4 linked regions of the Rhinolophus ferrumequinum genome follow. The main gene of each other region encodes a partner of the protein of the gene in region 4 in a complex. Links are inferred from orthologs where the notes say so. Each region holds a gene or a part of one and is shown on either strand. Other genes may lie near its edges.

Region 1 (7,331 bases), on a different chromosome or scaffold from region 4:
ATGTCTACAAACCCCCTGCAACACACCCCATGTCACAGCCTGAGGCACATCCCACACTCTTTCAAGGTCCCTGCACACAACTTGTCCTCTGCTTGGAAGACCACTGCCTACCCGCCCCAACCCCCACACACTGTTCATCCCATTCTTCCTGATTCGAAGTTGACCTCAGTTTATCCCTCCTGTAGACTGAGCTAATCCCACCCCCCTGGGAGCTGACAGCACTTGGTTCATTTTCTCAGCTCCTTTTCCATAAAAATTATCTGTTCACCACAATGGGCTGTGCGCTTCTTGAGGGTGAAAATTTCTCTTATTCATCAGAAGATGATCAACACGTATTTGTTTTAATGAATGAATTCACATTTCAGTTTTAAATAGAGTTTAACAGGGCTGTGTCTTCGGCCCTTTTCTTTTAAGCCTAGATTTCAGTAATGACAGTTTTGGGGTATATCCGCTATATGCCATCCTGCCCAGCAAATCAGTCACATATCCATTATGCAGATGACTCAGCTTTGCTCATCTGATTAGAAGTCAGCTTTGAAAAGTAAGTGGCTGGTTTGTTGATTCAAACAACAAAAGAACATCACTGTTTTGATTAACATCTACCTTTGGACAGCTGGATGATGTTCATGTATGTCACCTAGAAAGCTGATTCATTCAACTGTGAATGGGGAGGGTAGAGCAGGGGAGAGATCCGGCATTTTCAAGTCAGAGTGTCTGGGAGTGGACCCCCGTTCTGCCCTGGCTGGGCTGCACCGTGGTGACTGTGCTAAAAGGAGCAGGAAGTGATTGAGCTCAAGGGCGTTGGAGGGGTTACATTAGAAAATGCATCTTAAGTACTAATTAGGTGCCTGGCATATAGCAGAGCCTCATTACGTCTGAGGGAGTAATCTGGCAGCCTGAGGGGCTGTATTTGCCCCCCTTGACTTTTAAAATGTTGACTCTGAATGGCCATTCAGAGCTCTCCAGTTTGTGCTGCGGGCCAGGCCCTATTCTAAACATGCTCCATGCTTTATCCTCGGAGGTGGCCATAATCGTTACTCTTATTTTCTAGATGAGGAAAGCGAGACAAAGAAATATCTATTTGAGTATATTTTGTAGCTAAAACCTTCACACCAGTCCCAAAGGAGTCAGTGTCTCTCACGCTTATTCTACTAGCATCACATGAGCTGGCGTAGCAGAGCTGATACAAGTGTGGCCTCTGGAGCCAGGTTCAGTTCTCCCACGAGTTGTGTCATCTTGTGCAGGAGAAGAAAACTTTTCCCTTCTTCCCTTCTAGGTTCTTTGGCTGGTCTAATAAATTGACATAAGCCAGATTAACAGGAGGAAAAACAATTTAATTTGTACGTAGAGGAGCTCATAGAAATATGAGACTCAAAGAAGTGACCAAAGCAGGCAGTTTATACACCTTTTTTAGACAAAGAAAAATACGTGTGAAGAATTGACAAAACAAACGGGTTTGGGCTTGGGGTAGCTGTTGAGTGGAGAAGTACCAAGTTTTGTTTATGTAGCATTCTGGCCTTGAGTTCCCATGTCTGGTGATAAGGGTGTCTCTCTACGTCCTGGTACCGGGAGACCTTGCACATGGGAGATGTATCTCCTGCTTTCAAGGACTCAGGGGGCTCAGGGTATCTTTCTTGGACTGGCTGCAAGTAACTTTAATTCAAAATAATCAATATGCCAAAGTGGTATATTTGGGGATGGCATATTGTGCTCCCACTCACTTGGGAAAGGTATCTCTGTGCCTTAGTTTCCTTATCTAGAAAATGGGGATGACGATAATAACAGCATCTACTTCCCTGTGTTGTTATGAAGATTTGATAAAATGCTAGGTGTAAAGATAAGCACTGCCTGTCATTATGGGTGCCTTACACACTCTCTCTACCCTCTCCCACCACTTCCTTCCCCACTCCATCACAGGCAGCATGTCATGTATGTTAGCACCGTCAGGCAGAAGAGAGATGGCGAAATATATGAAGCGACATGTGGTTAGCGGGGAGACAGGATGAGTAACAGAAATATTTGGTGGTTTGCAAGGAACTGGACAGCAGAGGGTTGTGTAAAAGTATTCAAATGAAACAATTTTTAAAAATGTGCTGACCAAATGGATTAAGCTGGTCTCTAGTTTGTTTACTTGCTTGATCCCTGAGGTTATCTGGGTCTATTTTGTAGCTTACACTCTCAGGAAGGACCAAAAGAAATCGTTTGTATACAAGCTCATCTTTCTCTAGACACAATGAAGCTCTCTGTAAAACTTATATAGCTGCAGGTAAAACCTGTGTTCTAAGCCCAGATGACCGTCTCCAAGCTCTGGGTGCCAAAGTGTGGCGTTTCAGCCAAATCTTACCTTCAACTGCATTACATATGGTAATGTAATGGTGAAAACACCCAAGGAAAGCCCAGCACACAAAAGACTCTCTGTTTGTGCCTCTCCCATTAACCTTAGGCTGGAGAGACAAGGCACTGTGAGGTTCTGCAGTTAGGTGTTATGGTATCTCCTGCAAATATAGATGGCTGTAACATCAACTAAGCACCACTCCAGATAATTCTATCAGAAGCTTATGTATAAAGCTGGTGGCCTCTGTTCCTGTGACATTTTAGGATTCACGAACATGGAGGCATGGTAGTGGGCAGCGTAGAGGGAGGCGGGGGCTCAAATTCTGGCACTTTAGACCTGTTTGCTGGAACAAGTAGGGAGGACAATAGACATTTATCCAAATAGGCGAGACAGGGTCCCAGGGCATGGTGACACTGGGGGGAGGCCCAGGCAGGTCCTGGAGGCCTAAGCAGGATGGAACACAAGACAGACTTCCAAGTCTAGGCAGGAAACAGCCGCATACCTGAATGCCTGGAGTGACAAACAAGGTCCTCGTCACTGGCTTTGGGTATCAGGCAAAGAGGGAGTGCCCCAGCGTCCATGGAGGCAGGTGCCTGGAGAACCAGGCCAGCTACTATGGGATTGAGCTATGTTCTATTTGCATTTTCCCCCCAAGCAAGCTTATAATGGAAATCACTATGGAAACACTATTCATGCATCAGAAATCTATTTTTCACCTAGATTTTTGTTCGAATGTTTTGTTTTGTTCTTTGAATGCTTTTTTGAATGAGGTAAAGCATATCTGATTTTAGAAGTTTGTCTGAATTCAATTCTATCAGAAGCTCAGCCCCACTGAAATGGGGGAACCCAGAAAAGCACCCCATCACTGTATTTCACCAATCGAAAAATATCACAAGCTTTCTAATTTATAAAGTTATTCTATTAACTTGAACTACTTTCTCAAATAGGAAGAAATAAAGCTGAGTTGCTTGATACGAAGAAAAGGGTGCAATGATCAATTTTATGAAAGTAGAAAAGAGGAACTATACCACTAGCTAACGCTACTTAAATATTTCTCACCGGGCATTTTTCTCACTTGCTAGACTTCATGTCTCGGTAACATCATTATCACTGCTGGGTTGAGATCTTCCCTATTTTGCAACTCAATTTTCTGAATGAATATATTTAGAAACTATATTTATAAACATACTCTAAATTTATGGCCAACAGGCAGGCAAAGAGGCAGCTTTGCCCTCCACCCTCCACCCCCCCTCCCATTACTTACCTTTCTTCTTCATTCAAAGAGCTAAACATAGTTTCTTCTTTGCTTGCCTCTTTCATTTTCTATTTAGTCTTGCTAAGTTAGGGATTTTTGACCCATAAGTTAGGGGATTTTGACCCCGGTAATTCACCTACTATATATTAATATAAAAAGATACAAACCACTGGTAAGTGCTTGGGACGTTGGGTTTCCTGGGTTATTTTAACTGTGCAGAAGCAAGTTTCCTCCCATCCCACTCAGAATTACCAGATCACCGCCCCCGTTATTTGTTTCAGCAGTGCGGAATACCTGTCGGGTCGCCCTTGTTGGAGCCTGCGATCAGCCCCTTCCAGGATTTACACAGGTGGCCTCCGAGGCGACCCGCACCTCCCCGGGTAGCTCCTCCCAGCCAGGGTTAGGGCTGCCGCGCAGGCTCTAGGACCGCGACGCGGGCAGGAGGCGGTGCCTGGCCGAGAGCCGGGCGGGGCCGGCTCCAGAGTCCCCCGCAGGCGCACCTCAGGCGGGAGAGTCGTGCGCCGGGGGAGTGGGCGGGGCCGCGCGCAGGGCGGTCCTGGCGCGCGGAGTGGGCGGGGTTCCGCGTGGGGCGGTCCCCGTACGCGGCGGGTGGGGGGGGCGCGCCGCTGGGCAGCGCAGCTGCGGGGCAGACCGGGCATTAGGGCCTCAGCGGAGCCCGCTCCTCAGCGCGCTGGGCGGGGTGTGCGGCGGGTGGCTTCGCTGGCAGGCGCGGGCCCGGAGGCAGCGGCTGCGCCCTGCGCCGGGGAGGAGCCGGGGGCGGGCGGCCGGCAGGCGGGGGCTGGGGCCCGAGGCGGGGAGTGCCGGAGCGCCCGCGGCGACGACGGCAGCGGCGGCAGAGCAGGCTCCGTGCGTGGGTCCGCGGCGGCTCGGGGTCCGCCCGCGGGCCGTAGTGTGAGCGGGCGGCCGGGCTCCCTTCCTCCCCCGCCCGCTGCCGCCGCCGCCGCCACTGTGATTGGGTGGAAGATGGCGCTGGGCGGATGGAAATCCTAATGACAGTCTCCAAATTCGCCTCCATCTGTACCATGGTAGGTGCGGCGGGAGGGCAGCCGGGGCGACCCGGGATCCCTGGGGCGGGCGGGCGGTGCGGCCCTGGTCCCCGCCACTCACCCGGGTGGTCCGCGGAGCCGGGTCGTGAGGCGGCAGGCGGGCGGGGGCGGTTGGACTCCGGCGGGCAGGGGGCGCGGGTATTAGCGGCCCCCCGGGAGGGGGAGGCGGCGGGCGAGCCTGGGCGGCTCGAGGGTGACCAGCGAGGGGACACCGGTGCTGGACGTAGCGGGGAGCGGGCACTGGTCTCCAGCGCCCCGGCGCTCAACTGCTGAAGTCTTCCCGCGGCGCCGGGGCCGAGCGGCGGGGAGCGCCGGGCTGTGGGCGCGCGAGCTGGAGCGCGGTCCCGGCTGGGGTCGGAGGTGGAAGGACGCGGAGCGGCGCGCGCCGTTTCCGTCTGGCGGTGCGCGGAGCGGGGAGGTGGCCCTGGGCGCGGGTGGGGGTCCGCCGGCAGGAAGGCAGGGTCTCGTTCCTGCGGGAGAAAGGACGGAAGTCAAGTGCAGATTTCCTTCCCGCGGCGCGGGCGAGGCCGAGTCCCCCACCCGGTGCTCTGGAGAAGGGGGTGTGTATGAAGGTGGAAACTTTAAATAAGTGCTGTGGAAAATTTCCCCATTTCTACTCTGAGAGCGACGAGCTCTCCTTTTTCCAACCGTGTGTCCAGGTGGCAGTCTTGTCTTTGGGAATCCACGATAATATTGAAAACAGCTTAAGCTTTCCTGTCATTTGTTTACTTGATACACCGGGCACATCTGTGTGTGGCTCGAAGTAGTTCTGTGCAGGGACTGACTGCGAGCGTTATTGTGTGTGTTTTATCGGAGTTTTTAAATAGACTCTGACAGCGAAGTGCTAATGCCTGTGGAAAAGTCCCGAATGAAGCAAAACGTGGGTGCGTGTAAATCTCGGTGTTTTTGTGCTTAGGCAGAAGCACAATTTTCCACACGATGGGGCAAATTCGTTTCATTAGTTCTGTGAGGCTACATCTAGGGATCATAATTAGGAGCCGTTGCAGAAAAAGTTATTCTTTGCAACGTGGGCCTGGTGATCATGTTACTGAAGACTTCTGAAATCTTTCCTTCTGTCTATAGGAGGTCCCCAAACAGTCTTCCATTGAAGGGTGAGGCATTTTTATGTATCTTTTTTAAAGGAGTGGTGAGTCAGATCCAAAAGGTACTCTAGAAGCAGATTCTACACTGCTTTAGATGTTGATGAACAGTGTAAAAAATGGCCGAAATCAGGTGGGGTTAAAATCTGCAGGATTAAAGAAATCACATTGCATGAATCATTGGAGAATGCGTTTTCTGAAATAGATTTTTTTCCCTTCACAATTTATATTTTAGGAAGCACTGATATTAAAGGAACTGTATTGAAAGGATTTCTGAGGGTCATTTGGATTAATTATTTTTAGATATGCTGGTGATTATCTTACCATATTTCAAAAGGAATGTGATAATTAAGTCTTTGAAAGTGATAATCTTGCCAGATTGCTGAGCTACACGGATTGTCAGGTCATAGTTCATTGTCAAAGTCTAGTACTTCTGGAATGATGTGTTACTACTCTTTCCTAACCATTCATTCACACAGTATATCAGGTACACATTTGGCACCTACTTAGTGGTAGAGACTCAGTGCTGAGTGCTGGGGATGCAGCGGTGATCAAGACAGTCCCTGCTTTCATGGTGTTTACATTCTAGTTGAGGCGGACAGTATTCAAATGAACAGATTAATAACGCATGCTATAATCAGATTAGGAAACATGAGTAAGTGGGATTCTGATCTCAATGTCAGACTCCAAAGCTCTTTTTAGGGTTTCCGCTCTGGGGCATTGCATGTGGTGGGTGTGTATGGTTGGCGAATACAGAAACACCAACCAGTGCCTGGCCAAATGAGATTGTTCCAAAAGTAGTGTTAAAATTGCATCTATATTTATATTTGAATAAATTCTGATGTGTTTCTAAAGTAATGCAAATATCTGAAAGTAATCTGCAATGTTATTCTTTAAAGAAAACTGTAACCCACCTCCTGAGAATTACAAAATTGACAATCAAGAAAAGCAAAGATATTTGGCTCTCTGCCTTTGTAGATGCTATTTTGCTAGGCTTTGAACACTTCCCCCTTCCCCCTTTGTCAGTGAGTTCATACCTGACTGTCAGGCAGTTGACATTACTTGAATAATCCTTCCCCTGGCAATCCCTGTCCTGTCTTCCTTTTGTAATTTCACTGCTTTTTGTAATCTCAATAGCCTCGTATGTACTATGTTGTAAATTTTTCTCTCCTTTGCTTTTTGGATTGTGAAAGCCTCAAGGGGAAGGACTACCATTTATTTCTGCCCTTTGGTGGAGCACTAACTTCTGCATACAATAAAACAGTTTCCCCACTCCCTCTTTTCCTACCAGTAAGTGAGGACGAGATTGGGATGTGTGTGGAGTGGTGGAGGGGCTGCACCTAAAGATAGTTCTCAGAATCAGTAGCTGTGAAAACATTTATGATGAATTGAGATTTTATTCCGTAAATAATAAAGTTTATAAAGTTTTCATTAGGCAATGTAAGGTACCTGGGCAAAGTGGCACTACCAGGGTTGGGTAACTTTTTCTGTTAACAGCAAATCTTCAGATATGTGTTACTCTAGATCACTCTTGTTCTGCTACATGTGAATATTAGTAAAGTTTGTTTTTCCTA
Region 2 (7,751 bases), on a different chromosome or scaffold from region 4:
TATCGTTTAACACCGTTTCTGGACACATACATCAGCCTGTTTAAAATATGCCAAATGACCTGCTTTAAAAAAATGCAATCACCACTTGCTCTTATAACAACTACTCAAACCAGCTGGGACCAAATGGAGTTAAGAGTGGGAAGGATCAATAAGAGCCCCAGAAAGAAGCTAAACAGTGAGAAGGAACCCACAGACCACCTACCTGAAAACAATTCATCATCGAGTGAAGACTCTAAAGACAGGTCCAATGAAAATTTACATCTGATCAGGTGAAAAGACAGCAGTCTCATCCCCAAGCCTTCCTGTGTGGGAAGTGAGACTGGGAGGGGCGAGGGTGACCTGAGCAGCCTTTCATAAGGGGCGGGATTATGGATTCCCATCCCAGGCTTTGTATACAGTCACTCGGCTTGGTTTGCATAAATGACCATGTGGGTTGTTTATATTAGTGGCTGCTGTCATCAAGTCCAAGAAGGCATACTCCCCATTGTCCTTTGAACAACTGAAGGTGACATAATGATGTTGGAAACAGCTAACACTCAATAAGTACTTGTAACTCATTTAATACAACAGTCCTAGGAGGTAGGAACCATCATCACCCTGTCTTTATAGATAAGACAAAGAACAACTTGTTCAAGGACAAAGAGCTAGTATGTGTTAAAACCAGGACTTGAACCCAGAAAGTCTAACTTGAGAGCCCAAATCTTCATCACTTGCTCAAGACACAATGTCCAAACCAGAAGATAAAACATCTTACTTTTGAATTATTTATTGGTTCCTCACCACACCTAGGTGATGAGCCTAAATTTGGTACCTATTTAAAGATTCTACGAGGTATCAACTTTCCAGACAATACTAGCGCACTCCTCTCACGTCCTCCCTGCCACTTGTCTCCGTGGCTGAGTTTTACTGGGAATAGGTTGCGACATTCTGTCCAGATGTGCCAAAAAGCCCCAGTTGCACCGAGGGTAGGTAGGTAGATAGATAGATAGATAGAGAGAGAGAGAAATAAATAAATTTTTAAAAGCTGGAGGCTGGCTTCCTCTTGGGACGCGCTACTCACTCTCAAGTTTCCAGCCTGCTTCAGTAGAGAGAGGTGTCACCACACACTAGCTTAGGACGGGAACACCACCCAGGGCTGGGACTGCACCTCACTGCCCTGTAAGCCTGAGGCCACTCCAGCAGGCATGAAAGAAGAGTGTTAGAGCTGCTCTGGTTTCACAGGCCCCTCAGGAGCTAGTCTAGCATAGAGGGAAACCTAGAAGGCATCACCTTTCCACTGCACCAGGCAACATTATCTCCACAGGAAGACGGAGCAGGAGACCCAACTGCGTAGAGAAGGACGGGAAAGAGAGGAAATGGATATGCTCCAGGATCCACCCACCACATCTAACTGGTCCTGTGCCAATACCTTGGCAGCTATCACTCTGGGAAGCCCCAGCATTTGTTCTGCTGGCCATGGCAGTGACCACAGCCAACAGTGCTGAAAACTGAAGCCAGCACCAGTGGGTCTCAATTCCACTCCTGAGCGAACACATGGCTCCTTAATGCTTCTCTGCCATGTGTTAATCTTACAACAAAATGTGGGACAGAAGATTTAAAAAGCTCTGTGATGGGGGAAGGGCAGCCAGATCACCTTACCTCCAGGCTTCCTAATCAAGCCTCCTCAGATTCCCTTTAGGGGCCTGTATTATTAGCTACTAGGGAGGTTTTCCCCAAACTAGCATTAAAAGAACACGTGTTCCAGCTGGAGATAAGGGAGCTTTGCTGGGACGAGGGGACCCTGGAGAAGGAAGGCAAAGCAGACACTCTTTCAGCCTGCACAGGAGGGCAATGTCTTACTCCAGGAGGCAAGCTGTGCACCCCAAGGCTCTGACAAGTGGGGGTGCCAGCAGGGTGCACCCTGGGGACTCAAGGGCTGGAAGCTGTTCCTGCAGAAACTGAAAAGCAAGGGAAAGCTGTAAGAGAACCCCAAGTTAAAGTCACCACCCCGCCCTGGAACCAGTCCCCATCAGAGCCCAGTGATATTCCCTTGCTGTGTCTACACCCACCAGCCTACACAGAGCCTACAGCGCATCAGGCCGGATCACCCCGGAGACCTCCTCCACTCCCACAGCCTGTCCCACCACTCTCAGGGCCTTCAAATGTCACTGCCATATAACCTTGTCCCTCTTTCACTGGTGGGGAAACTGAGGCATCTAAGACCTATTACCGTGCTTTCTCAAACCAGGTGAAATTCACTTCCCTAAGCACAATTTTGCACTTTTTTTATAGCTTTATTACATTTCAAATTTCTCCAGATACAGCGATTGCCTTTGGAAAGTGCATTTTAAATACAGTTTAAGGAGTGAACTCAAAATGTGAAGAGGGCGGTCAGAGAGACCCGCAGGGCTTCATCTACCGCAAGGACAGGATGGGTACCCCCCACCCCCCGGCTTATCCCGCAAGCCCTTCCACCGGGACGTCCGGGTTCGGCCTCCCCCTAAGGCGCTTCCACCGCAACCCGAGGGCGGAGGCACCCGGCGCGGCCGGGTACCAGCGGGCGGGTTCCCAGGTCCCAGTGCAGAGAGCGGGGCAGGGGGGCTCGGGGCCCCTCCCCCGGGGGCTCTAGGGGCTGCGGCCGGCGCGCCCAGCCCGGGGCGGGGAACTTCGAGCGACGCGGCGCAGACCCTGCCGCCCCTCGCCCCCACCCCCACCCCGGCGCCAGGCGAGTGTGCGGCTCGGGTTTCCCTTTCTTTGCCTCGCCGCGCCTCGGGCGCGACCCCCGAGGCGGCAACGGCGGCGGCGGCCACTCACCATATTACAGATGGAGGCGATGTTTCGGACAGTCATTAGTCTAAAGGTTGCAGCGATCCCGCACCGCCATCTTTATAAGGTGAAAACAGGACTGTCCATGGTGGAGCGCCCGCAGGGAGGCCGGGCGGCGGCGGGGAGGCGGCGGGGAGGCGGCCTGGGGTCCGGCTTTCAGTTTGGCTGGGAGAGGGAGGCTGGGAGGGAGGAGGCGGAGGCGGGGAGGGCGGGGAAGGCGGGGAGGGCGGGCGGGAGAGCGGAGGGCGGGGAGTGGCGGAGTGGGGGAGCCTGGGCCGCGGCCGCGGGCGCGAGGAGGAGGGGCCGCCTGAGCGCGCCGCGTGCGGCCCGCGCCCCGCGCTGCCTCCGTGCGCCCGGCCTCCCGCCGGCCCGGCACCTGGCCCCGGGCCTCTACGCCCTCTTCCAGCCGCCCGCGCCCCGGGCCACCGGGCTCGGCCTTTTTCTTTTCCTTTTTATATTCTGCTTCACTATCTTTGGACTGAAATGCCGGCCCAGGCCCTCGCCTGCGCGGCTGCGGCAACCTCACCGCGCGGGTCCCCGGGGCAGACCCAGATGCCGCGGCGGCAGCGGCGGCGGCGGCCTCCTCCGGGCCCGTGGCGCCGGCGGGAACCAGGGACAGCGCTGGGCGTTGGGCACCGCCTGGCGGAAGGGGCCGCGCCTCGGGCCGACAGCAGGCTGGGGAGGCGGGAGCCCGGGCCCAAGGCACGGACGCCGCGGAGAGGGCCGGTGCCACACGGGGTAGTTTTCTGGCTTCACTTTTTCTTTCCTGCCTCCGGTCTCGCAGCAGCCCCAGGTCTTTATATTTTGGCGGGTGGAGAAAGCAAAGGGTAGGGGTGACTAAGGCCAACTTTTAGTTTCTCCCTGGGGTTACAGCCAGATGGCACCGGCGAGGACCAGAATGGGGTCAGAACAGGCGAGTGTGAGAAAGCCCTTGCCAGCCGTGGGCCGGCTGCCTGGTAAAGGGCGCCGCGAGGGGAGAAGAATCTGGGTCTTGGGCGGAGGCCAGAGCGACGCGCTCAGGCAGTTTGTGACATTAACAGGTACAAAGGACAAGTCCGGGTTCTGGGCAAGGAGTAGGGACTGTCCGAGGAGCGATTTGAATCCGGAAAGAACCAACCTTGAACGCATCTTAAAGAAAAAACTACCTCTCTCCTGGGCACTCAACCTCTAGGTTTTGAGAAGACTGCTCTGCTGGCTCAGACACATTTCCTGCATAAAAGGTCGTGGCTCCTAGCTCAACTAGCGAATCTACACCACTTAGCAGATACGTTCATGCGAAGTGGAAAGGAGCCCGTTTCCAAATGTGTGAAACAATTCTACATACAAGGTTGCAATTCAGTGCTTTCAACCGAAAAGTTGTACAAGTGAAACGCATGGTAATTCTTAAACCAATATATGTAATGACATTTGAAGAAATTAATATAACTGAAGACAGCTTTCATCTAACCAAGCCAAGGGTACCATACTGGGAAAAGATTCCACATCCTATTCTCCATTATCTATTTAGTGTTACACACGAAGATTTGAGAACCATTGATTGCTAATATCCCTAGGACTAGGGTGAAAACAAAATAACTACTGACTCAAGTTTTGTGGGGTCATGTTAGCTGTGTATATTTCAATGGGTTTAAGGAATAAACTCCTGCATATGTTAAGTCATTCTACCTACATCTTATTTCCAAACAAATCCTGATGATGATAATCAGTAACTTTGAGTTCTTACCATTGTCAGTCATGATGTTCTTTACATTCATGATCTTCAGTTACCGTCAGGACTATCAGGTGATAGATGCTATTATCCTCATCGCCTTTTGCAGATCAGTAAAATAAGACCTAGAGGATCAAATCTGCCTCCTGTTGCCAAATGTTACAAATGTAGCTGGTGTGCTAAGCAGGCTGGGAGAGGAGAAGGGAGCAAAATACCCAAACTATGGCCAGTTGGATAACAGACCTAGAAAGGTTTAAAGACTTAAGGAAAATGGCCAAACAAGTTCAGGAGAACCTTCAGGGCCCAAACTCAGGACTCGGGACTCAATTTCACAGACATTCCACCATAAAGGCATTAATCCAAAGCCTTAAAATGATAATGGAAATTTTATACCGTCATAGAGTTCAGCATTCTGCCGGCATTGACACAATGGATTGCAAAGTCCACGGGACAGAAAACCCCACTGACATAATGAAAATTGAACATCATCTGATGACTGAGTGCTATATGAACAAGTTAAAAGAGTCTTTTGCGTGCCTTTTAACAGTGTGTAGCCTAAAAGTGAAGTGTTCAATGTAGACAAACATCCAGATTGAAACTCAAGCAGTGAATTACATACACAACAAATCAATTGAACACAGCAGATCTTCTCAGGCTCATGAATAATTAAATACATGTTTACACTACTAGATTGGTATTCACAGGTCTAAATTGAAAAAGGCATCAGTTGAAGAAGAATTGTAACTTCGGCTTCACTCAGTAAGGAAACACTTGCAAATGATAAGAGGTAAAATGATGAAAATGTTGACAAGCTAATGAAAGAACTTTGAGGCAAAGCATTTCATGTATAGGGACTAGCTTGTATGAAGGTATAGAGATAGAACTGGGAAAAGTAGGCAAATGGAAGGATGGGAGGCTAGCACTAAACAGCTTGAATGAATCTGAGGGAGGCAGTCACTCCAGGTAGTATGCCTCTTGCTACACAAAGTGTGGTCCGTGAAGCAGCAGCACTGGCGTCACCTGGGAGCCTGTGAGAAGTGCAGATTCTCAGATTGCATCCCAGACCTACTAAATGAGACTGCATATGAAGTGTGAAGAGCAATGCTCCAGCCAACCACTTGTGGTGGTGGTGGTCTCTGTTTTTGCCTGCCCAGGTCCAGATTCTACTTTGGGGAACTCCTCTCCCATTCCCAGAACCTAAGGTTCAGGTGTGGCTAAGTCACCTCCTGGCTCCAGAGTAAGGCACGTGATCCAGGCCTGGCCAATGTGGCCTGATTGCCCAGCCACAGTAATTGCTTCAGCAAGGAGAATGTAATATAAACTGAGCCAATGAGGATCAGCCCTGGGTTTTTTGGAGAGGAGGTACTCCCCTTCCTGAGTTTGTTGAGCTGATAGGATAAAATCTAGAGCTGCCATCTTTCCACTGCCTGAGAATGAAACCAGTGTAGAAAAAAAATGAAGCTGAGGAATGGAAAAGAGACCCTAACCACATCATTTATCCACTAGCTGCTAGATCTATATCCTGGACTCTAGCAACTCAAGTCAGTAAAGTCTTTGTTTTCTTTGGCCCATTCAAATTGAGTGTCTGTCACACACAACTGAAAGAATCCTAATAACCAGTGTCTCCCTGTCCCCCCAAATGCATTAGGCTCATTCCAAATTCATGATGTTTTCTTTTCCTCTCTTCTCTACTCACTAAACTGATCTTTGGAAGTCTTCCTCCTATAGTTTTGCCTCCTCCGTGAGGCCATCCCAGATTGCTCTCCCACACCACAACCACGAAAGAACTCCCATATTCAGATGGTTCCATACTCTCCCTTCTATTGTTACCAGTTTCCTGTCTGTCTCCCTCCTGCTTCCCCTCTTTGCTTAGCCTTCCGATGACTGGAGGCCACTCAGCCTTCCGATGACTGGAGACAAGATGAGATGCCCTTGTTATATGTTCTTATAGCACCATCCATCTTTCCTTCAAAGACCTTATATTTATAAATATGTTTATGCCATGTAGCACACAGCATGGAGGCAGTAGAGTGGGTGGTTGAAAAATGAACCCTGGATCCAGGCTGCCTGAACTAGCTGTATCACCTGGAGCAAGGTTTTTTAACCTCTCTAGCCACAATTTATCTACAAAATGAAGACAATAAGAGTACCCCTCAGAGTGTGATTGCATAAGTTTATGTAAAATACTAAAAATATACCTGGCATATATGAACCACTATAAGTGATAGCTGCTATAATTATTGTGCATGTGACTATTTGGTTAATGTTTATTTCCCAACCCTCATCAGACATGAAGAGACAGGCCTGGTTTTACTCATTTTACATCTAAAGAAAGACACAGCGCCTTGTCCATAGGAGGAGCCAAGAATTCAGATATTAAGTATCTGAACAATTGCCTTTCCAAGTGGCCTGGAAGCTCCTGGAGGAAAAGAACCTTGTCATGTGAATTTTTAAAAATCTCCTCTGGTCTCAGGCACTGAGACTGGCACATTCATTCCTTTCCTTTTTTCCTTATTGTCATATAGGTTATTGCAGCTCACTTGATATGCAAATGCTAGTAAACATTTCGCTGTTTGAGGGAAAAACATTTTGCTGGCTGTAGACTTGAGTTTGAAACCAAACTGGTATCTGTGGATTATATTTCAATTTTATGAGGAACTTTGTGACAGCCTTTTTCCTTTTTCATCATGCATCGAACAAATACTTACTAAAGACATACTTTGTGCTAGACGCTCTGTGTGGCACTGGTGATCCCAAGATAAAAGAAGGCAGTCGCAGCACTTGCACTGCTCGAGTTCATTGGTGGTGCTCCTTGGCATTGTTTATGAATGTCCTTGCTCCATTTTGCCTGCAATTAGTATGAAATAAGGATAAGCTAACTTTGGTATGAGCATCAATTTAGAGTTCCTACAACAGAGAAGCTGCATCTAAAATCATGAGTGTATTTATGGGTTGTTAAGATTCCCTGAGCCTTTGGAACAATTGGCTTATTATGAGTGCCAATTAAAATGCTGTGGAAGGATTATTAAGCTCGGTTGGAACATGATTAGATTTTATTTGCTCATACATTTTGATTAACTGAAAGAAGAGATTAGTCTAGCTGGCCACCATATGGGGAAATAGGGTTTGAAGGAAAGCAAAAGCACTCTAGGTGAGGTCAGTTAGAAATCTGTGGTGAGAATCCCAGAGTTGTCAGTAGCCTGGGAATGGCAATGGGGAGCAGGGGGGAAGGGGAGCA
Region 3 (7,762 bases), on a different chromosome or scaffold from region 4:
GATTCCTCGACTCCCTCAAGGGATGGTGGGCTCCGCCCCCTGCAACTAAGATTGAACATGGCACCTTGAGCTGAGCTGCCGCTGAGCTCCCGGATGGCTCAGTTGGTTGGAGTGCGTCCTCTCAACCACAAGGTCGCAGGTTCAATTCCTCGCAAGGGATGGTGGGCTATGCCCCCTGCAACTAGAAAACGGCAACTGGACCTGGAGCTGAGCTGCGCCCTCCACAACTAAGACTGAAAGGACAACAACTTGAAGCTGAACGGCACCCTCCACAACTAAGACTGAAGGGACAACAACTTGACTTGGAAAAACAGGCCTGGAAATACACACTGTTCCCCAATAAAGTCCTGCGCCCCCTCCCCAATAAAATCTTAAAAAAAAAAAAAAAAAAAAATCTGCTGTATAATGCCTAACTCCAAAAAGTCAGTTTGGGTTACTGATTAAGGAAAATTATGTGCTCTGTTTTAAAATCAGAAAACAGAGTCACAAAAACAATCATCTGTACTCAAAACTAATAAACCAATTCGTTCATAGGGAAAAAAATGTTTTAATTACAATGGCTAGAAGAGAGTTGCAACGTCCACCATGTGTATCTACAAGATACAAATGTATTTAATACAAGATATTACCACATGAAAATGAAATGTCACCAAAAAATTAAAGTGCTCAACTACATTACACAACTAAACGCAAATTTGCATGTTTAAGATTTTTGTCTTGTTCAAAATCATTTTTTGGTGGTTTTGAAAGGCTCCCCTAAGTTTTACCCTTCACTGTTAGCATCCCACTAAAGGAGAACACTGTTGTGATACTTTCAGGCAAGGGGCCTGTTTTTATGATGCAAACCAGGGCTGCCAGATCCAGATAAGGTTTGCTACTGGAATGCTCCAGAAATAATATACTTTCAAAGAAAACTTTTTTAAAAAATGGTGATGCCTACACTAGTAATTACTAGTAAATTTAGTTTTTAAGCACTTTTTGTATCTTTATATAAATAAAATTTATTAACTTAAAATTCCAAACTTATTTCCAGAGAAAAAGCTGATCCTTTCGGTCCTAGTACCAATGTCAAGATAGAAGCTTCCCGCTTGACAGTTACTCTTACTGCTTATTTTAACTATATTTTACATCTACTGTTTCAGGGCTTTAAAGCTCATTAGTCTTTATGTTATACATCACAGCATGCGTACTGCAGCATTTCTCCTTTTAAAAGGTCCAGAAAGAAGTTAAATAACTTGTCCAAGGTCACCCAGCAAGTCAGTGACAAAGTTGGGAGTAGGACTAAAACTTCAGCTCCTAGTCTAATGACTTCACTTTCCTAGTTCCAAAAGAGAAAAAGTAAGGCCAAGCGGTGTGCTTTCAGTAACTTATAACAGCATACTTCAAAGACAGTGAATGGTACACTTATCACAAACACTAACAACAAAGATTCACCTTGAACAAATGAGACAACTTGCTACCACTGTCATTTAGATAGCACTGTCATTCCCTAGTTTTTTTAACCAAGCAAAAGCAACCTGTTCTGGCTATTAACACTTAGAGAATGTTCACTCTTCAGTATATACAATTTATTTTTACACTAACCGAACATTTCTAAATCTGTTATCACCTTTTCCCATGCCTAGGTGCTGTGGAGTACATTTTAATTTCCTCTCTTCCAAGAGTCAAGTCAAAGAACGCATATCTCAAAAACAGTTCTCAATGAGAACAAAGTTATGTTGCCAATGAAAGAAAAGCTCTAATAAGTTGCTTCTTTTAAAGAGATTATTTTTAAAGGATGATTACATGCTTCACAGAATTACTGTTAAGTCGCCTGCCAAGAATGGTTCTGGTAAAGTAGCTTTTAAGGCATAGCCCTCCCTGTTTGGGACATAGTCTGACTTGTTGGACAAGACTGATCTGGGCACGCTCACACCGAACCCTTATGAACCACCTTAGTTCATTGACAACATCCTTTCGACCTCACAACTGTAGTAATCAGCCCTCCCATACTAGAAGGGACAAGATGACCCTCTTTAACAACCTCTCAGAAGGTTCCCTCGGCAGAGACAGTGACAGCAGTCCTCCCTCGGGTGTTTTTGTAAATAGAGTGTCAACACCAGGAGAGGCTCCTAGGAAGTGTCAGTGCGGCAGCAGGTGGAGTGGCCCTTCGTGCCCAGCAGGTCCTTTCTGACCTAGTCTCAAGTCCTCTCCTTCCCAGCCCGGGTTCCGCCTTACAGACCTTCCCAAGCCGCCTGTTCTCTAACCCAGAGCGAGACTCCCAACCCTCCCGGGAGGCGAGGCAACCTAAGTAGACTAGTCGGCCACCCCACCTCTTCCGGGGACTCGCAGGCCCGCTCCCTGGCCGTGTCAGAGCCTGACGGACCCTGCCAGAGGAGAGGCAGACGGCCCCTCCCGGGGCCTCCCAGACCGAACCCCGCACCCCACGGTCCCTTTCTACCGCCCCCATACCTTCGAAACGCCACCGCCACCAGCCGGCTCACTCCCGAATCCCCCTTCCGCAGGGGCACCCCAGTGGAGTTACCGGCCCACTCAGAAGTAAGAGCGACGGCCACCCCTATCGGTCAACCTGGCCCCCGCTGTCACCGCCCTGCTCCCGGCCTCTGCCCACGCCGCTGGGTGGCCCCGGTGACGCCCGGGTCGGTACCTTGCGGACCCCCTTGTAGATATAGAAGTAGAGCTCCCGGCCCACATTGAAGCAGAGGCGGTCGCCGTTGCCAGACTGGTCGTTGAGGTTTACGAAGGAGACGCGGACAGGGTTGGATCCCTGCGAGTTGAAGGGTACCCGGTTGGGCCGGCTGTACTCCGAGTGCGGCAGCAGCTTGTACAGACCTTCCCGGGTGGTGAATTGGGTCTTAATCTCGTTCATCTCCTTCCCTCCTCCCTCCGTCGCCATCTTGGAAAGCAGCGTTCATCCTGCCCCAAGTGCCCGGATCACGCCCACCGCGCAGGCGCCTTCCTCTCCCTCCAGCTCTTCCTCCTGGCCCCTCCCACTCGCGAGCCGGCCCAGCGGAGGCTGGCCGAGGGGAAGGGGCGGGCTTGTTTACGGCCTGACTGCGCAGGCGTGCTCACCTGGCGCGCTCCACGCTGCGGGGCGTCCGCAGGCTCCTCCTCTGGGCGCGGCCTGGGGCGGCCCCGCCGCGGTGCAGGTGAGGCCAGGCTCCGCCCGGGGGCGGGCTAGTCGTGTGGCTGTGTCCGCCGCCCGGCAAGGGCCGAGTTGGTAGGTAGAAGCCGCGGTCGGGAACGCTGAGGTGAACTCGGAGTGAGTGGCCTCCTCAGCTGCCTGCGGCCCTGCTCTGAGGGGCCCCGGCACCCAGAAGAGCAAAGAAAGAGAGCCGCCTCGGCAGCTGCCCCCTAGGGAGTCAGCACGTGGGGTACCGAGAGCGGAGGGCGGAGCCCCGGTGTTCTCCCTTCGGGAGGGTGCAGGAGCATCCGGAGGCTGCGAGGGCCGGTTCCCCGTCTCCCCTCCCCCCCCGCCGGGGCCTCCCTTCAGACACCCCGCACAATCGTCTGGATCCCCTCTGCACCTCCCTAAGTCAGTTTCCGAAAAGGTACCGAAAGACCTTAGTTTTGCGCTTCACCATTTCTTTTAGGCGGGGTGGAGGGAGAGGAATACAGTATATACACACAGAGAGAATATGTGTTTGCAGTTAAATATCTGAATACCTATTATAGTGAGCATTGGCTAATTTTAAGGAAAGTGGGTTGTGAGCACTTGTTTCTTAAGTCTGTCTTCACCAGGTGTTTAGAGAAAAGGGGTTGGGGAGGAGAATGGCTTTGGGACCCAGAGCAGGAATTCTAAGCAGGATTCACTTCTTTTGCTCAATCTTTTATTAAGAGCCCTTAATAAAATTAGAGATCATCGATTTAAAAAAAAAAGACTCAAGTGGAATCTGCGAAATTGTTTACTGGGCATAGTTGTATGCATATACTGCACTCTGTCTAGATATATAAGGACAGGTGTACGTGTTGAAGATTAAACAAGTGTCATTTTATACCTGGTTTTCTTGGCATGTTGCACTAGAATGAGGAAGGTTCTAATGTGACAGAAACATTCTGATAGAATTTGGGGCGGGCATTCCAACATTTGTTACACCAAAAATGAACTATTTCTTTAAGTTCAAATCATAGCTGGAGCGTCACAAAGACTGGAGCAGGTAAGTTCTAAAGTAAGAAGAGTCCAGATCATAAACATCTTATGTATTACAAAGCAGGTAGATGCCAGTGGAAACTCTACCAATGATGTAATAATGCACTTGACACTAACATCCTGTATCCTTTGTGCACGTTGGCAAAAAAGCGAGAGTCAAATCCCACTCAATAGATCCCTAAATATTTAAATTTTGTATTGTTTTGATGCTATCTGCATTTACCTAAAAGTCAAATAGATAATCAGAAGTCTTTAAATACCTGGATGTCTTCTGTGGTCACCAAGGATTTATCCCAATTTTCTATAGTGATTTTACATTGAAAATAGTATTTATGATGATCACCTTATAGGATAGTGACATCCTGAATCATCTAAAAATAATTCAGCTGCGTTCCCTAGTTATCAAGGAAGAAAAAAGCATAATAATACTTTTTGGAGGAAAAAATAGCAAGCAAAAATTAAAACAAAAAATTTTATTAGCCCTCAACCACAATTTTCAATTACCCATAATACATGTATACCTCGAGCATCCTATTAAAGTTCTATTCTATATAAATTCAACATATTTTATTGTGATTACAATAATAGGCTGTTCACTTTGTCTCATCCAAAGCCTTTGAATAATCTGTATTTTTTTTTTTAATGGTAGGATGTATTTTCATTTGCATTTGTTTCTATGTATCTTTTGATCTCTCCTCTTATTTTTTTTTTAATTTTATTGGGGAAGGGGAACAGGACTTTTATTGGGGAACAGTGTGTACTTCCAGGACTTTTTTCCAAGTCAAGTTGTTGTCCTTTCAATCTTAGTTGTGGAGGGTGCCGTTCAGCTTCAAGTTGTTGTCCTTTCAGTCTTAGTTGTGGAGGGCGCAGCTCAGCTCCAGGTCCAGTTGCCATTGCTAGTTGCAGGGGGCATAGCCCACCATCCCTTGCGGGAGTTGAACTGGCAACCTTGTAGTTGAGAGTCCACTGGCCCATGTGGGAATCGAACCTCAGCTCCAGGTCCAGTTGCCATTGCTAGTTGCAGGGGGCATAGCCCACCATCCCTTGCGGGAGTTGAACTGGCAACCTTGTAGTTGAGAGTCCACTGGCCCATGTGGGAATCGAACCTCAGCTCCAGGTCCAGTTGCCATTGCTAGTTGCAGGGGGCATAGCCCACCATCCCTTGCGGGAGTTGAACTGGCAACCTTGTAGTTGAGAGTCCACTGGCCCATGTGGGAATCGAACCGGCAGCCTTCGGAGTTAGGAGCACGGAGCTCCAACCGCCTGAGCCACAGGCCGTCCCCCGAATAATCTGTATTCTTAATACTTTTTCTCTTGTAATTTTTTTTCCACCACACTCAAAGATTCAGTAAATAACACCTGAATTTATATAACTGGGCCCGATCTGAAGTTCATTTCTGATTTTCAGTTTCAAACCAGGCATTTCTAATTGGATTTGTGCCTCAAATTCATTATTCTCTAAACCTTATCGGTTCACTTTCCTTTTCTTCAAACTTGAATCATTATAAAATGGCTTTATGAATGATTTCCTTAATTTCACTTTTTCTCTCAACTTTGCTCCTATAAACAACTTCCAAATTAATTTTATTGAAACAATACTTTAGACATATATTCTCTTGCCCAAACACTTTCAGTGATTTGCAAAATTCATATACGTATTTAAGTTATACACCAAGCAGTTCTTGGCCTGTTAAGTATTGCATAAATCCCTCATTCCAGTCAAACTGTTCTGCTGTCACCCTTAGCTCTTTCTTTTGCTTGAAAAGAACCTTCTTTCCTTTATTTTCCTTTTCATAGCCTGTTCCTCAAGAATTAGTTTAAGTTCTATCTTCACCAAGCCTGTCCCAAGCCCTGGGTGATAAAACCATGTTTAAAGTCAAGAATTCTCAATTCCCAGTTCATGGCTGGCTTCAGGGCGGGTTTGAACTCCTTGTAATTATATTCAAAATTGTGTGTACATGTTCATTGGATCATGGGAGTCTATAGCTTTCATCAGATTTTCAAAGAGGTGTGACTACCTTCCTGCCAAATTTAAAAATTACCTCTCTGAACTTCTGTGGCACTCCTCCGAGCTTTCATTTGTCCTATGTAATAGCCTAAAACATTACCATCTTTTGGTATTTGTCAGCATATGCTAATTATCTTGTATTGATACTTATCTTTTCGTTTGTATATGCTGCCTTTCTACCGGAGTATATGCACATTCAAGGATGTGAGGGAACTCGTTAAAATTATTTGTATCCTCAAATATTTATTTGAGTGTCCCCATGTGCCACACTAATTCTAGCCTGGGGGATGCATCAACAAACAAAAATCCCACAATCATGGAGTCTATATTGCAAGAAGACAGGATAAACAAACAAATAAACCGACTAGCGATTGTGCTAGGAAAAGTGGAGTAAAGTAAGAGGATCGCTTGGGGGTGTGTTGAGTGGTTTGCCATTTAAAATATGGTAGTCAAGGTAAGTCTCATTGAGAAGGTGGCATTTCAGCAAAGACTTGAAAGAGGTGAGGGAGTGGGCCGTGGGCAGATCTGGGAAATAGCTGACCAAGCAGAGGAAAAGCCATGGCAGAGACCCCAGGGCAGGAGTGTGCCTACCTAGCATGTTCAAGGAACAGCAAGTCTGTCAGTGTAGCTGGAGCAGAGTGAGCAGGAAAGCCATTGCAGGGTTTACGAATCCATTTGTTGGCTGGTTTGAGAGTAGACTAAGGGAAGCAAAAGTGGAAGGGAAGGCCACTTTGGAGGCTAACTGTAGCAATCCAGGCCAAAGGCAGTGGAAGCTTGAACTAGGGCTGGTAGCAGTTGAGATTGAGAGACGTTAGAGAGTCCTAGGTATATTCTGAAGGTAAAGCCAGTAGGATTTCCCAGCAGGTTAGAAAGGGCTGGTGGGAGAAATGGAGGAGTCAAAAATGAATGCAAAGTGAGCATAAGCAACTGGAGGATGGAAATGCCATTCCATTAACTGAACTGAAAAGAGTGGAGCAGAGCAGGATTTGAAAGGAAGACCAGGAGTTCAGTTTTGAACATGATGGGTGTGAGATGTCTATTAGGCAGTTAGAAGAAATGTCCAGGAGGCAGTTCAATAATCAAGTGTGGAGAGAATACTCAAGTCTGAGCTGCCCACGTGTGTTTGGCAGGCATTAGCTGATAGACAGTGTTTAAAGCCTGGATACTATCACTGAGGAAGTGAGTATGAACAGTGGCACAATCCAGGAGATTGGGGACAAGAGCATACCAATATTTTGCAACTTAACACATAAAGAGTATTTACTTTAGGTCAAATTTGTCATTATTTTTCAGATTCAGAGATTAATCCAGTAAGATAATGAAAAGCATGTTTGTTTTTTAAACTTTGAGGAGTTTGCCACAGTGACCTGCTAAAGAGAAATAGGCATCGATGGGTATCTTTAGGATATTGGAAATGTTTACTGACTCACTGTGTGAAGTAACCAATCTCTCAGATTTATCTTACTGCATGAGCTTGTTCTATCATTACGTTAGGATTCGGTACTTCCTTATAAAACCACATGGAACTTGAAAACAAGCTTGGGAAACATCCCATAGCACAGTGTCCTAAACACAGCACTCCTTTTTCCCTCAAATTTGCAGAA
Region 4 (7,291 bases):
TCTGTTTCTGTTTTGTTTGTTCGTTCACTCTATTCTTTAGATTCCACATATAAGTGAGATCATATGGTATTTGTCTTTCTCTGACTTATTTCACTTAGCATAATACCCTCTGGGTCCATCCATGTTATTGCAGATGGGCAGATTTCATTCTTTTTTATGGCTGAGTAATATTCCATTATATATACAGAAGGTGCCAAAAAAAGTATACACATTTTAAGAAAGGAAAATACTGTATTAAAATTGTAATACTCAATATATACTGATTATAAAAGATGAATACAAGTCATGTGTATACATTTTTTTGGCACCCCGGTACATGCCACGTGCCACATCCTCTGTATCCAATTGTCTATTGATGGGCGTTATTTGTGGCTTGTTTGCAATGAACATGCACTAGTTTAAAAAACACTTCCATCAACAAAAGTTCTCCCTCATGTTGAGATAAAATCAATCTCTGTGGCTTCTCACATTGGTTTCTAGACCCTGGGGACAAATTCTGAAAGCAGCTAAAAAGAGTTACCGAACCTTCTCTTCTGCAGGCTAGTCTTAGTTCTTCTGAATGTTCTTCATAGGAAGTGGCTTCAAGCGACTTTGGCAATCGACTGCTATACTTTATTAGGACAAAGTGATAAGTGTTAACCTCAAACTCTAGTTTTGTGCTCTGACCAGTGAATCGTGGAATTATCATCTCCCTCATTCTACATGCCATGGCTCACATTCAGCTTATTAAAACACTCAGTTTTTCCACACACACTGCAGTTAACTTACATTTTCCCTGTCCTATACTTTTATATTCTTTTAAGTCTAAATACAAGAAACTGATTAACTTTCTTGTAATTAACTCTCCTTACTACCCTAAGAAGTGTATCGCTCTGGTATCTAGAATACAATTAAATTACAATTTTGAGTTACACTTTAGTCAGGAGCAGACATTCTCACTACCTGGCCTGCATGCTGGGGTTACTTAAATCCTGTCACTGATGCACTTAAAAGTCACCTAACAGGGTAAGGTATTGTAGATTTTTATTAATTTCACTCAATTCAGCAAGCATCTACTGAATGCTCAGGACACTGTACTTACCAAAGAAATCAATAAAACAAAGAAGTGAACTGCCCAGAAGACTACGGCTTATAGCAATTTGCTGTGGTATCTTACTGAAGAAAGCCTTTGTCCTACCCTGTTTCCCCAAAAATAACACCTCGCTGGACAATCAGCTCTAAAGCGTCTTTTGGAGCAAAAATTAATATAACACCCGGTATCATATGTTATACTATATTATTACATAAGATCTGGTCTTATATTAATTTTTGCTCCAAAAGACACATTAGAGCTGATTGTCCGGCTAGGTCTCATTTTCGGGAAAACATGGTATTAAACACTCAGATTTCAACTTGTAGAACTACATATATATGACGTCTGACAATTAAGTTCGCGAACTCATCCTAGAAAAAGGGCATCCTAGAGAAAGTTCAGCTCACTGCTGAACTATGGTTACCTTTGAAGTACTCCCCCTGGGAAGCTATGCACCAATGCCAAGTGCCTAGTCCACCCTTCAGAGCAATTTTGAAACTCTTTTTCTGGAATGGCCATCAGAGCTGTCATCGTATTACCCTTGAGTTCCTGAATGTCATCAAAATGTCTTCCTTTCAATATTTCCTTTATCTTCGGGTAAAGAAAGAAGTCATTGGGGGCCAGATCAGGTGAATAGGGAGGACGGTGCAGTACAGTTATTTGTTTACTGGCTAAAAACTCCCTCACAGATAGTGCAGTGTGAGCTGGTGGATGCGTTGACATGATGCAAAAGCCATGAATTATTGGCAAAAAGTTCAAGCCGTCTTTTACACGCAAGCCTTGTCAGCACTTCCAAATAGTAACCTCGGTTAACTGTTTGTCCAGTTGGTACAAATTCATAATGAATAATCCTTTTGACACCAAAAAAGGTTAGCAACATCTTTGCAACAAATTTGTGAACTTAATTGTCAGACCCCATATAATGCTGTTTTTATAAAGAAAGCCTGGTGGCTACTTATTCCTATACTGTCAATTCTTTGCACATTTTTGGGACCAAACGAAGTGCTTAGTAATGTTTACTAAATAAGGTATAAGGTACGTAGTACCATATACCTGCAGGCAAACACCTGTAATACAGGGCTTCTACTCACTCTTTGCATCGCTTAAAATAATAGGTACTCTTAAAAGTACCCAAAACAAAAGCGGATTCACGAAGGCATAAAGCACCCACGGAAGGGTTAGATAACCTTTTACCCTTGGATAATAAACTACAGAAATAGGAAAGAAGAATCATGGATGCACATCGAAGATGAAGAAATGGGGAAGGCGAAATGAAATTCCGAAACAAAAATGATATTCTCCCCACTAACGCTGGCACACTGTCACGTCGTTTCCACCACACCACGGGGAAAGCGCCCGCATAAAAAAAAAGGCAGGGGACGTTTTTTATGCAGAATCCCCGCAGAAAACCCGCAGGGCGGTCCGCACTCCGCCGCCCGCCACGCCCCCGCACAGGCCCACGGTCTCCTTCGCCGCCTGCCCACGGGGAACGCGCTCGGAGGCCTCCGCTCCGACGCGGCTGGGGCTGAGCGCTCCGGGGGAGGGGAGGGAAGGGCAGGGCAGGGGAAGGCAGGTGGGCGGGGAACGAGCCAATCCTCTCCCCGCCGGCCCAAGCCCACGAGAAAGCGGGCGACCGGCAGCCGCAAGCTCCGAAGCGAGCACTCGCGGGGCCCGCTGCGGGCCCAGCCCGGAGCCCCCGGCCCCTTCGTCCAGCCGTTAGCGCCGCGGCCCCACCCCTCGCCGCCGGCCGCGCCCCGTCCCACTCGCCCCCAGCCGCCACCCCGGCCCACCGCGGCCCGCGCCGTCTGCTCGCTGGAGGTGGGCCCGGAGCTGCCAGCCACGTCCGCGAGGGCGAGGAGCCGGGCTCCCATACCTGCACTTTCCTCCGCCCCGCCGTGTTCTGCCGGTGATGGGCCGCCATCTTGCATGTTGACACTCCGACGTCACTTCTGGAAGCAGCTAGGTCCGGGCGGATGTCCCGCCTCTTCCTCTTAGGCCAAGGGCAGGTGGGTAGGCGGAGGGCGTGCTGGTCGGGGGCTGCCCGACTGCAGTGTGTGGCTATGGCCGGTGGCCCTGGGGTGAGGGAGGAGCACCGAAAAATGGTTGCGTGCGTGTAATGCTGGCAGAGCCAGTTTTGAGCCGAGGGAGCAATCCGAATCCAACTCTGTGTGCCCCTCAACCCTGGCTTGCACTGTTCTCTGTCTGGGATGCCAATTCCAGAGGCCCAAGCAGGCTTAAGGGAAGCGCTGAAAGATTTAATAATGCTGGACACGGGCGGCTGGCACGGATTTCCCACACCCCCAACTTCCCTAGGCAGCCAAGGGAACTGACAGGTTTTCCATGACATATCCCAAAATGCAGAAAATTATAAACTGGTCTCGGAGAAATAGAAGTGTTTGGAAAGGAGGCGGCCCCCATCTTCAAGGAGCATCAAAGTATGTATTTAAATAAGAAATAAAAGGACGTTAGGAAGGCAACATCCTTTAACACTGGTTAAAATTGTTCTCAGAGACAACTTTCTAAGTTGCAGATCCTGAAGGAGTTGTGCTCACTCTAGAATCTTATACTAGGGCAATTAGCCCTTCTGGGTGAAGGTTTGACTTGAAGTTTTCCTGACACTAATTATTGGTGCTGAGGATAGTCAGACTCCCTTGTTTTTTTTTGTTTTTTGTTTTTTTTTTTTTTGTTTTTTTTTTTTTGTCAGACTCCCTTGTGAAAGGGAACCCTATAGAACTGCACTGTTTCATGTGTGGCTCTTGAGCACTTGACATATATGCTAGTTCAAATTGAGATGTGATGAAACTAAAATGACCACCTAATTTCAAAGACTTAGTACAAAGAAAAGAATGTAAAATACCTGAATAATTTTCAGCTTGATTACATCTTGAAATAATGTTTTGGCTATATTAGGTTAAAATATTAAAATTATATTTTTGTGTTTTATAATGTGGCTCTTAGTATATTTAAAGTTACATATATAGTCACTTTTTTTGCATAGTGCTAATAAAGAAATAATGCTTAGGAAAGTTCTTGTCTAGACAAATGCCTTTCTAAATTAATAAAGAAATATGAATTAAGAGTCGTAGAAACTGGAGGCATAAAGCTTCTTAAGCAAAACTGGCGGTGATAACTTGTAGATAAATGACCCATACTGCATTTTATTACAGATACATTCATTTTTCGTGTATTAATTTATTTGACAAATATTATTTAGCACTTGTTAAGTACTAGGTACTATATTAGGTGCTGGGGATCAGTAGTGACTGTATATAACCATAGAACTTAGAGTTCCAGGGTAAGACATAACTTGATTATGCATATAAATGAATATGGAGATAAATACAGTGAAGAAAGACATTTATAAGATAGGAAACGATTCTTGAGTCAAAATCTGAGAATCGGGGCAGACGGGTGGCTCAGTTGGTTAGAGCGTGAGCTCTGGGCATCAGGGTTGCCAGTTCGATTCCCACATGGGCCAACAAGCTGTGCCCTCCGCAACTAGAATGAAGACAACAACGAGCTGCCGCTGAGCTGCCACGGAGCTCCCAGGCAGCTGGATGGCTCAGTTGGTTGGAGCGCGTCCTCTCAACCTCAAGGTTGCCGGTTCCACTCCTGCAAGGGATGGTGGTGGGCTGCGCCCCCTGCAACTAAGATTGAACAACCGCAACTGGACTTGGAGCTGAGCTGCGCCCTCCACAACTAAGAAAGGACAACTTGACTTGGAGCTGATGGGTCCTGGGAAAAACACACTGTTCCCCAATAAAGTCCTGTTCCCCTTCCCCAATAAAATCTTTAAAAAAAAAAAAGAAAAGATCTGAGGATGGAGTTAACTAGACAATGAAAAGGAACAGTCTGAGCAAAGATTTGTGGCAGGAGGGAGCTTGGAACATTCCAGGAATTGAGGACCAAGCCTAGAGTACAGAGAAGGGGAAGGAGTATGCAGAGACCACACACAGCTGGGTCTTTTAGATCAATGGGAACCTGTTGAAAGGATTTAAGCAGGAGAAGCATTTGATCTGCATTAGAAACAATAATTCAACACATATCCATTGCACACCCATGATGTACCAGGCACCAGGCAGGCATGTTGCCCTGCACAATATGCTGGTACCTGCCAGAAATGGATGCTTAGGTTGTTGTGGTCCCACTTTGCACCTGAAGAGCATTGAAGTTGTGGTCTTTTCAGTGGGCAGAATATCTAGCAGTATGTCTTGAAGTTCACTTTACCTGAAGGAGAGATGGCCTTGGGTAATAATTAATGGTCCAAGCCTAATTGTTTGGCCAGTTGGTTCAGGACATGGAAAGAGAAAGATTGGAGGACTAGTGACAGGAAAGACTCAGGAAGGGATATCCTCGACCTTGCAGAATACATCTTAAGAATTAAGAATTTATTGAACAGATGACATGAACTGCTCTTAGATGAAACTCAGCCTCCTTATCCAGGCTCAGTGCAATCATGAATGAAATGGCAATAATAGCAGGATTGGAGCTATGCGTGGCATCACCAAGCCACTGCTGAGTGTTCAGCTTGCCAGCAACAGTGGCCAGTCCTGAGTTGGTGATATACCCCAAGCTCCGGGAGGATCAGCCAACCACTTGGAGGCAAGTCGATTCCATTGGCCCTTCCCGATCGTGGAGGGGGTAGTTATTTGGCCTCTGAAATACACTTACTCTAGACTTAGATTTCCTTTCCCCGCTTGCTGTGCTTCTGTCAGCACCACCATCGGGGACTTAGGGGATGTGTCATATACTGTTACTGTGTTTCACACCATATTGCTTCTGATCAACAAACTCACTCTGTAATGAAAGCAACTCTGTGGGCTATTGCTTGTAGAATTCATTGGTCTAATTGTGTATTCTATCACCAAGAAGCACCTGGTCTTAATTGAAGACTTAGTTATGGTGCCTTCTGGGAGATAACCCTTTTTGATGCTGTCTTACAGGATGCAGTATATGCTTTGAACCAGTGTCCAGTGTTTGGCACGCTTTCTCCCTGTGCTTATCTATTGCTGCATCACCACGCAAAACTTACCGGTTTAAAACAACTACAACATCTACTTTGCTTACAAATCTAATTGGTGCAGGGCTCACCAATTAGGGGACAGCTTGTCTATGTTCCACTTTCCACTTGATTCAGTTGGGGCAGCTAAAATTGGGGGGCTGGGACCATCTAAAGGCCCACTCCTTCGTATGTCTGGTGACCGATGCTGAATTTATGGCCAGAACATCTACTCATGGGTTTTCCACTGTGCTGTTTGGTTATTTACACAGTAGTGCATGGGTTCCAAGGGCGAGCCTCCCCACGGAGAGAAATTCGGGTGGAAACTGTAATTAATGCTTTTTCTAAAGTAGCAGTGGAAATCCTGCAGTGTCACTTTAAACCACATTTAGTTCATTAAGGCTTAATCGCTAAGGCTGGTTATATCTAAGGAGATTCCATTTTCTTAAATGGGAAAAGTGTCAAAGAATTTGTGGATATGTTTTTAAAACTACCACACTTCCATAGGCAAAATGAATGGATTTAGGAACAAAGGAATATACCTAATGACTCCAACTTAAAATGTTTTTAACTGCTATTCTTTGAAATTCTGGGCTTTGCTGGTTTAGAGGTTTGTTACCAAAGAAAGGAATTCTTCCAACAAAGCCTGAACATTTCCATTGATTTGGAGATGAAACTGCTATCTAACTATGTTGCCTGTCTTATGTCACTGGATAGGCAAGAGAAGAAGGACATGGTATTGGTGGAAGTGATTAACCCTGAGTATCAAGCAGAAATAGGTTTGCTGGTATAAGCAGACAGGTCCATCAAACACTCAGATCCCTTAGAAACGAAGGTATTGGTTGAAGATAAAGGAACACAGAGTGGCTGGTGGAGAAAGGAAATCATAAATGAAAGTGAAGTCCTCATGATCAGGGGAAGAAATGAGAGCTGTCATCTTTATTGGTATTTCTTTTATTGATGTATCATGTATACTTTTATGGGTTTTAACTTTTTTTAACCCTTTATTTCACTATTGTCTGTAGGGTGTGCTATTCCTTGTAAATTTCATTATTTAGTCCGTAAGTTGCAGAGAAATGGATATCAACTAGACGTTTTGGACTTAGAAGTGGATGGATGAATGGGGTAATTGATGAAACACTGGGTTGACTCCCTTGGAGGGTGACAGAGTGAATACATCTTTGATTGTTTGAAGGATAGTTGCAGTATTTTAAGTGACA

Evidence for each region.
Region 1: the proteins of WDR48 (region 4) and USP12 are in contact, whole or in part, in a crystal structure (PDB 5K1C), measured with the Homo sapiens proteins. The link is inferred for Rhinolophus ferrumequinum from reciprocal best matches to the Homo sapiens genes WDR48 and USP12. Residues at the interface, in NP_065890.1 of Homo sapiens: Arg50, Trp77, Asp118, Tyr119, Lys121, Leu137, Ser170, Tyr172, Thr188, Asp211, Asn212, Lys214, Ser230, Gly254, Trp256, Arg272, Ile363, Ile364, Leu424, Lys425; in NP_872294.2 of Homo sapiens: Arg185, Leu187, Thr188, Cys189, Glu190, Thr191, Ser227, Lys230, Cys236, Arg237, Ser238, Lys239, Gln240, Glu241, His243.
Region 2: the proteins of WDR48 (region 4) and USP46 are in contact, whole or in part, in a crystal structure (PDB 6JLQ), measured with the Homo sapiens proteins. The link is inferred for Rhinolophus ferrumequinum from reciprocal best matches to the Homo sapiens genes WDR48 and USP46. Residues at the interface, in NP_065890.1 of Homo sapiens: Arg50, Trp77, Asp118, Tyr119, Lys121, Leu137, Arg139, Ser170, Tyr172, Thr188, Asp211, Asn212, Lys214, Ser230, Gly254, Trp256, Arg272, Ile364, Leu424, Lys425, Gly521; in NP_073743.2 of Homo sapiens: Arg181, Leu183, Asn184, Cys185, Glu186, Thr187, Cys222, Ser223, Glu224, Lys226, Cys232, Cys233, Ser234, Lys235, Gln236, Glu237, Gln239.
Region 3: the proteins of WDR48 (region 4) and WDR20 are in contact, whole or in part, in a crystal structure (PDB 5K1C), measured with the Homo sapiens proteins. The link is inferred for Rhinolophus ferrumequinum from reciprocal best matches to the Homo sapiens genes WDR48 and WDR20. Residues at the interface, in NP_065890.1 of Homo sapiens: Val191, Lys207, Gly208, Gly240, Gln241, Gln242, Arg243, Cys244, Ile245; in NP_653175.2 of Homo sapiens: Arg20, Ser364, Thr384, Glu385, Asp386, Glu524, Pro525, Leu526.

What each region holds. Positions count from the first base shown.
Region 1 is NC_046287.1:99,322,125-99,329,455, reverse strand, and holds the start of USP12 (ubiquitin carboxyl-terminal hydrolase 12), read left to right. Parts: upstream 1-4,330; 5' UTR 4,331-4,588; coding exon 4,589-4,636; intron 4,637-7,331. UniProt on the Homo sapiens protein: Deubiquitinating enzyme that plays various roles in the regulation of the immune response and inflammation.
Region 2 is NC_046288.1:15,426,443-15,434,193, forward strand, and holds the start of USP46 (ubiquitin carboxyl-terminal hydrolase 46), read right to left. Parts: upstream 3,001-7,751; 5' UTR 2,830-3,000; coding exon 2,794-2,829; intron 1-2,793. UniProt on the Homo sapiens protein: Deubiquitinating enzyme that plays a role in behavior, possibly by regulating GABA action. May act by mediating the deubiquitination of GAD1/GAD67.
Region 3 is NC_046289.1:2,665,730-2,673,491, forward strand, and holds the start of WDR20 (WD repeat-containing protein 20), read right to left. Parts: upstream 3,005-7,762; 5' UTR 2,897-3,004; coding exon 2,648-2,896; intron 1-2,647. UniProt on the Homo sapiens protein: Regulator of deubiquitinating complexes. Activates deubiquitinating activity of complexes containing USP12. Anchors at the base of the ubiquitin-contacting loop of USP12 and remotely modulates the catalytic center of the enzyme.
Region 4 is NC_046300.1:13,617,879-13,625,169, forward strand, and holds the start of WDR48 (WD repeat-containing protein 48), read right to left. Parts: upstream 3,016-7,291; 5' UTR 2,994-3,015; coding exon 2,946-2,993; intron 1-2,945. UniProt on the Homo sapiens protein: Regulator of deubiquitinating complexes, which acts as a strong activator of USP1, USP12 and USP46. Enhances the USP1-mediated deubiquitination of FANCD2; USP1 being almost inactive by itself.